Sus scrofa: one gene and its partner. The protein of the gene in region 2 interacts with the protein of the main gene of each other region in a pairwise test. Links are inferred from orthologs where the notes say so. Each region holds a gene or a part of one and is shown on either strand. Other genes may lie near its edges.

What was found.
Region 1: the proteins of CTNND1 (region 2) and ZBTB33 interact in binary tests that used the Homo sapiens proteins (3 or more experiments, as listed by UniProt). The link is inferred for Sus scrofa from reciprocal best matches to the Homo sapiens genes CTNND1 and ZBTB33.

Annotation. Positions count from the first base shown.
Region 1 is NC_010461.5:98,408,159-98,411,444, reverse strand, and holds part of ZBTB33 (transcriptional regulator Kaiso), read right to left. Parts: intron 2,685-3,286; 5' UTR 2,683-2,684; coding exon 664-2,682; 3' UTR 1-663. UniProt on the Homo sapiens protein: Transcriptional regulator with bimodal DNA-binding specificity.
Region 2 is NC_010444.4:13,206,379-13,210,835, forward strand, and holds the start of CTNND1 (catenin delta-1), read right to left. Parts: upstream 2,854-4,457; 5' UTR 2,607-2,853; intron 1-2,606. UniProt on the Homo sapiens protein: Key regulator of cell-cell adhesion that associates with and regulates the cell adhesion properties of both C-, E- and N-cadherins, being critical for their surface stability.

The DNA of each region.
Region 1 (3,286 bases), on a different chromosome or scaffold from region 2:
ACAGTCCAGCTACCAAAGTCTTTTCCAGACTATGGCAATACAAGCAAGATTTAATTCTGATTAGCTAAAACTAATTCATTTTTCAAATGAGAGACCTGTCTGCATGGCCATTTTCATGAGGGGCAGGAGGCCATTTGGACCAGCAGAATACACAGCCAAGACAACCAAGCAGAGACTTATTTTGAAAATTTCCAGGACAACTTTAAAAGTTCTTGTTTACTTTTTATGCCATATACAAGACACAACACACATTTATAGTCTCAATATTAAGAAAATTGAGAATTCAGCAGTAAAGTGCTAACACAGAAGGGGTAAGTTGCAAGATAAACTAGGGTATGTATGCTAATAACTCCAGTTATTTTCAAACATTCAGACTGCTTCAAATTCTATTCAGGAAACTATCTCTCCAAGCTTTTTTTTTTTTTGCCTCTTTTGAATGTGCTGAAAGCTAACTATATAAACAGATACTTGGGGGAAAAACTGCTCCATCTCTATTCAAACTTTCAGAATAACTTGCTTCTAAAAATTATCAACAAATAATCCAGCTAGACTACCTTCAGGTGACGTGGCAGATCCTATTAACTTGAGAACCTTTGTTTTACAGGTCTTCTGAAAGCCCTGCCCCCTAATCAAAACCAAAACTTTCTGAAATTTCAAAGGAGTTCAATAAGATTCTGGTATTATAAATTCAAACTCAGTACTGCCATCTGTTACATTCTGTTTAAAAATTGAATCATTTTCCTGCTGAATAAAAATATCTTCCCAGGTCATTGGCTTGTTCTGAGGAGCAGATGTGGTCCCTACTGGAGGTTCTTTCCCAGCATCAACCTTATACCCAATACCATCATCCTTCATTACAGGCATAGTGCCTGACCTATCAGAAAGGTATGCATATTGTCTGATCTGTAAAGACCTGCATGGATGTAAACGATAAAGCTTCGAGTCTCCAGAAGGATCTTGACTATGAACTGACTTTATGTGTGAAGACATAAACTGATAGTTGATGAAAGATTTGCCACAGGCCAAACACTGATACCTTCGCTCCCCCGTGTGATGAATTTCATGCTTTGTACGATATTCTGCAAGAGGAAATACCTTCTCACAGTAACGGCAAGGATACTTCTTCTCCCAAGAATGAATGTTAAAATGTCTCCGCAAGCTTGTCAGACAGACATACGACCTTTTGCATACAATACAGATATAATAGACCCTTCCATCTACTATTAACTCATAGTGATCATCATGTTTTACTTTCATACGTTTATTTGCCGTCTCACTGCTAGATGTTTTTGGTATCTCATTCTCAAGCCTGGCCTCCCCTTCGTCAGGGTCATCTTTGACAGGGATCACTATATCATAAGTATCTTCACCAATATTCGCATAAACCTTGCAACCCGTCGACAAGCCTTCAATTTCAGTAGCTGTATCTAAAGTAATAATCTTCTGACCCTCCGTGAGATGTTTTGATCCTAAACCTGGATCATTAGTGTTTCTAGTAATTATATCTGAAATTTTTAAAGAATTGGAAAGTGGCTCTTGCAGAAGTGTAGGAACCTGCATCTTCTGTATCAATGATCCATCAAAAGTGGTATTTTGGGGGATCTCAGCCTGTGGGACCAAAGATGTATTACTGACCGCCGAATCTGGACTGGAGCTAATAGTGTCATCATCATCATCTATAATTTCTTCCTCCTCCTCTTCATTGGCCTTGTTTCCTGTTAAAACAGCATTGTTTGGTGGCTGCTGATTCGGCACAAGTAAATTGATTGAAGGAGACATATGATTTGGAAGTGAAGAACTGACATTTGGTGGGTTGGTAAGTGGTGTCTGATTTAACAGAATAATGTTGGGAGTCAGATGTGTTGGGGCCGAAGATACCAGCAATTTTTCACTTCCCTGTGTTTGGCTCAGAGTTGCCTGATTCACAGAAGTAGGAAGTTTCTGAGGAGGCGTGATACTTGTTAAAGGGGGAGAGCTACTGCTCGCACAAGGTGCAACATCTGAAATAGCAACAGAGCCTGGGTTAGGCTGGGCCTGTGCCACCGCATTGTTACTCGGCAAAGTCTCCTTTGCAGGCAAAATCTCAGAGCAGAAAATGACGTCATCGTCATCATCATCTGAATCAGTAACAATGATCTTTTTTGTCTCATAATCTTCAGCAGATAAGGAAAAAGACTCTGTTATAATAGGCATTATAGTGGCCCCATTATCTTGGGCTTCATCTTTTGATTTCTGTATTTCAAGGTTCTTGTCACTAGAACCAGGAGGTAAGGTTTCTGCATTACCATCTTGAGGGGTACCTGAGATGCTTTTAACCTGTGACAATGGGACACCAAGCTCTGCTATAAACTTCACTCCTAACAACTGCCCTGATTTAATTAACTCATCAAGTAAATCTGATCTAACACGAACAATTTTAGAACTATAGATATAATTGAGAATTTCTGCAAAGATCTCTGCTCTTATAAAGCTCAGTTCAACAACTTGCCCGGCAACTGAGAAGAGCTGATGGAAATAAGTACTAGAAGCTGAAAGAATGTTCCTGTGGGCTCGGAATTTTCGGTCTTCCACAATAACGGTGACATCACAGAAAAGTCCATGGCCACGCTGCTCATTCAGGGAGTTCAGCAGACTGCCAGAGTATTGAATGTCTGTAGCAGAAATCAGTTTTCTACTCTCCATGCCTGTAAGAGAAAGGGAAGAGGAGGGGATGGGAGATTAGGAAAGAAAAACAAAAGTACTTCATCATTCAGAATTTGAGCTACAGCATCATTAAATAGTTTGTTCGTTTTAACCAAAGTTTGGCAAAACTTTTTGGTTTTTATATAAATTCTTTATACCAGCTGGTTTTTGGACCACACGTCAAGCTCACGACTCCTGCCTGAGAAGAAACAAGCAAGTTTTAAACTGATCTGCAGATCTGAACACTAATCTCTTTCTTTGTATCTGACACATGCATCACCACTAAGCAATTTTTAAACACATTAATTTTCTTAGTTCCAATTTTGAATTTTCTCCTCAAGAAAACTAAGAGTTAATTTTTAACTGTCTTAAAACTTTAAGAATCTTCATTAGGAACACTTAAAAGCTATTTCACCTATAAATGAATGATTTGAATGTCAGAGAGGCTTGGTGTGTGCAATACTGGGTCTGAAACATATGGTCTTGGAGTTCCCGTTGTGGCTCAGGGTTAACGAATCCGACTAGGATCCATGAGGTCGCAGGTTCGATCCCTGGCCTTGCTCAGTGGGTTAAGGATCCGGCGTTGCTGTGAGCTGTGGTGTAG
Region 2 (4,457 bases):
TCAGCTTCTCTGAAGCTCAAATTCCTTAAAAAACAAACAACAACAACAACAACAAAGGGTTGTTGTGGAAAATTAAGCAAATAGTTTATGCAAAATGCTTAGCACTCAGCAAAAAAACAAGCCGGGGGTTGGGGGAGGGAGGGCTGGCAGTAGGTAACAGGGGACTACCAGGTACCAAAATAGAAAGCAGTAAATTATACAAAGCTAATCATTTTGTTATTTCCATGCTTAATGTATTTGCACATCCATCCCATCTCTCATCCCTAGAGAGCAACTACCTTATAAACCTAACGCTGAATTGCGATTACTCGAAGCTTTTTTTTTTTTTAAAGGTTTCCAATTTTTATCCTAGCTGAAAGAATATGTTCTAACCCCCTGACTCTCCATAATTGGAACTCTAGGAAAGGCACTAGGACTCTAAGCATCCAAAAGAGACCCCCACCTGGAACACAGGCCATACCTTAGTCATGTAACAAAGAAACCAACAGTATATAGGAGTCACACAAGCAAAGAAAAATCTGTACAACTCATACTTACTCGTCATTTTTCACCCCCAAGTCAAAATGAGGAGCCAAACAAAAAATAACAGATTTACTTATTCACATCCCTTATTATATCTCCTAGAAGAACAGGTAGAGGTGAGGTAAAAGACAAGTCTTCTTCCATCTTATCATCCAAAAGGTTCCAGTAGTACACACCCAGTCAAAACAATGCCTCAGTTCGTGGAAATAGTCCTGGTCGCTAGTCAACTAGAATGCTCACTGCAGCTACACAAAGCCCAGTATTTAAAGCTGGACCCAAAGCACTACTACCATTCAGTCAGCCAGAACCTATTTTCAAACTGCCTTTGTACTCCTTCAAATTCCCTCATTCCTCCCCCTAAAGGTTGAGTGGGAAACCAACACTCTGGCAGCAACATGACCAATCCTCCAAAGATCCAAGAACCCCCCCACCCCCCTTAGGCTGGCGTCAAGGCAGAGAGAGCATTTGAAAGAAAATTTGGAAATGAAATAAGAACTACAGCCCAATGGACTGTACACATTGTCCTTTTTTTCTTTGTAACTGCGCTTGCTATAATTAGGAGATACTCCTAATTATACAGACATTAAAATCTTACTGTAGCTCTTGCATAAATTATATTAAACGGAGAAACAAAGTTCTGTTTCCCTTGAAGACACAACCTTGTAAGAATGAACTCATCTTTCAAGAAACACTTTTGTTCTGGAAAAGAAATCCAAGGAAGTATTCTAGTCTAAAAAGAATTGAGGGGTGAGGGGCACAAAATCAGAGGATTATTATACATACATACCAGTTTAAAGCTAATGAGCAGCTAACACAGGCCCATCTTTTTACAATTAGGGCAGTATCTACTGCAGTTAGTTTTCAGACTGATTCTCATTTTCAAAGAAGATGGAAGAAAACATCCAGTTTTCAGTTACTGATGAGTTGGCTATACAATTATCTAGAATCAGTATTTTTGAAAGAATGTATTTGCAAAACAAAAACTAATCTTAAGATTAAATAGAAGATATGAAAGCACAGTCATGAGCCTTCAGCTCTTACAGATTTCTGATTTCATGGCTAATTAACCAAAGGAAAAACTCACCTCCAAAAAACAACTTTCAGTTTGGTTTAAAAGTAAGAATTCCCCTTTTGCTTTCTCAAATGCCTTCTAAACACTAAAGTTGGTATAGGTATTTTAGTCTTAGCCTATCATTATTTTAATCCAAGGCCCTTTCAGAGAGCACAAAGCTCAAAATATTTTCATGTGTATCGCCACTTTACTCAGGTGAACGCAAAAGCATGATTAGAATTTCCTTATCCCTTTAAGCACAGAAACCAAGGGTTATCGTACATGCCAACTCAACCTACACCTCCACAAACCTTTGCCATCAAGGTAGTTGTAGAAGGAAGGAGATGGCGATTCAGTTACCATGGATCCATTTGTTTTCTTTTATAAGGCAAAGCAGGGAGCTAAGTCTAGCCGGAGAATGAGGCTCCCACCCACCGCACCTGGAAAAGTAAAAGAAGGATCCACCCAGGAACAGCAGGGCTGAAACTGATCTGGGCTGTTCAAACTCCAGAGGAAAAAATACCACCATTTAAGCTGCAAAACTCCCTGCAACTTTCCACTTTCACAAATCCAATGATTAAAGGGAGGGAAAAAAAAGTTTTAAAACATGAATAACTAGCTTCCGACCCGGACAAATTCCTTTCCCAACCCACACGCAACATGCCAAAAAACCCAACTTTTGGTTTGGGCTCTGAAAACAGAAGTTTGTTAGCCTAACCTAGAAAAAAAATATGAAATAAAAGAACACACCAAAATGCAAATTTACAGAATTGCCCTCACCCCTCCGAATCTATTCATCTCCCTATATTAGAGAGACCCAGAAGTTTGTTCCTGGTTCTTGAATATTTTACTTTGTTTCAAATATAATACCAAAATTCCCCAAATGAGGAAAATTAATAACCGCTTAAAAGTTACCCATCAGCGTAACAGAATCTCTTGTTTCTAAATTCCCTCCGGTTACCTTAAGACAAAAATTCGACTTGGCTTATCCTCCTTCACCCATCTATACACATATTTTTAAAAAGGCACACACCTCAAATGTGGACTTCTAGAAACCAGTCCTCTAAGAAAGAAACCCAAGCCTTCGTCAACGTGCTGAGAAAGACAAATCCAGCAAGGGAGTTGATTTTTCGCCACCTCTTCCTCCTTTCAGGGTCTTTCCTGCTCTTCTTTCTCTCTCTCCCTCTTTTTTTTTCTCTCAGATCCAACACCTAAAATGGAAGTTGCACCCAGCCAAAGGCTAGGGAGCCTGGGTGGTGACAAACTGATCTGGCAGCCCTACCCCTCGCTTTCCTAAGTGATGTCAGCCCCTGGGAACTTCCAATCGGAGCCAGGCATAAATCAGGGAGCTGATTTTATCCAATAGGAAACTTTATTATAGGAATTAAAAAAAAAAAAAAGGAGAGAGAGGAGGGGAAAAAGAGACAGGGGGAAGTTTTATATATATTTATATTTAAAGTGGAGACTGTACGATCTCTGAGGAATTACTGCAGAGCTGGGGGGTTAGGGGAAGGGGGCTTAGGGAACAAGGGCTTTTTAAAACGACAGGGCCTAAGCGCGTCAGTTCTCTTTGATGCTGGGGTTCTTACTCCTTCCTTTTTGGGTGGGGAAGCAAATAAAAGCTGATTTTATTTGCCTACTGCTATTTAGTTTGTTGCTTTCTACCCTAAAGCATTTTCCCAAAGGAAGACAAGAAGGGAAGGAGAGAGAAATCCTAGAAACAGGACTACAATGTCTTGAATGGGATGGTAGGGGATATCTGAGGTAAACACTCAATTTCATTGTTTTGGTTTAAATGCATTTAGGCTGATTAGGAAAAAATAAATGCTTGGACTTGTTCATACTTTTTAGTGTGTATGCTTTCAATGAGAAGGAAACTGAATCCTCTAGGTTATTGAGGAAAATCAGTCTTCTCATTTATCCCCAAATCAAAATAATGTGGCATTGAGTGGGAGAATAAATGATATCCCATAAACAAGCAATATATTTAGAGTAGATAACAGCATGTGTAAGGAAAAGAAAGTCTCACGTCTAGAAAATTCAATTTATTTGTGAACTTGAAGCTTAAGACATCCATTCCCTTTTTACGCTTGACCTAAATAGAGGATAAAAACAAGTATTCTTTTTCTGAGTTAAGAGTTATATTATAGGAGTTCTCATCGTGGCGCAGTGGTTAACGAATCCGACTAGGAACCATGAGGTTGCGGGTTCGATCCCTGGCCTTGCTCAGTGGGTTAAGGGTCTGGCGTTGCCCTGAGCTGTGGTGTAGGTTGCAGACGCGGCTCAGATTCCGCATTGCTGTGGCTCTGGTGTAGGCCGGTGGCTATAGCTCCGATTCGACCCCTAGCCTGGGAATCTCCACATGCCGCGGGAGTGGCCCAAGAAATGGCAAAGACAAAAATAAATAAATAAATAAATAAAATAGGGGTTAAGAGCATAGATTCTGTAGTCTGACTGGCTTCAAATTTTCCTCCTCTGTGAGTACACTTACTCAAGTAAATGTACTATATCCTCTGTGACCTTGGAAAGGTTATATAACCTTTCTGTGACTCGGTTTCTTAACCATAAAATGGAGATAATAACTATCTCACAGGACTGTTGTAATTAAAATACACACAAAGTTCTTAAAACAATGTATGCCATATAGTATAAATTCAATGAGTATCTACCAGTATCTACCCTGCCCAAAAATAGTGGCAGTGTCTCATCATTGCCCAGTAACTACAACCAATGATAAAGCATCTATCATGTGAGGGCACTTTGCATTCATTATCCCTAACTTCTAAAACACCACCATGGAGAGAGCATTACCACCTTTTTACAGATGAGAAAAATCAAGGCTCAGCAAGGTTAAGAAACTTGCCTGAGCCCATCTGGCTAAGAA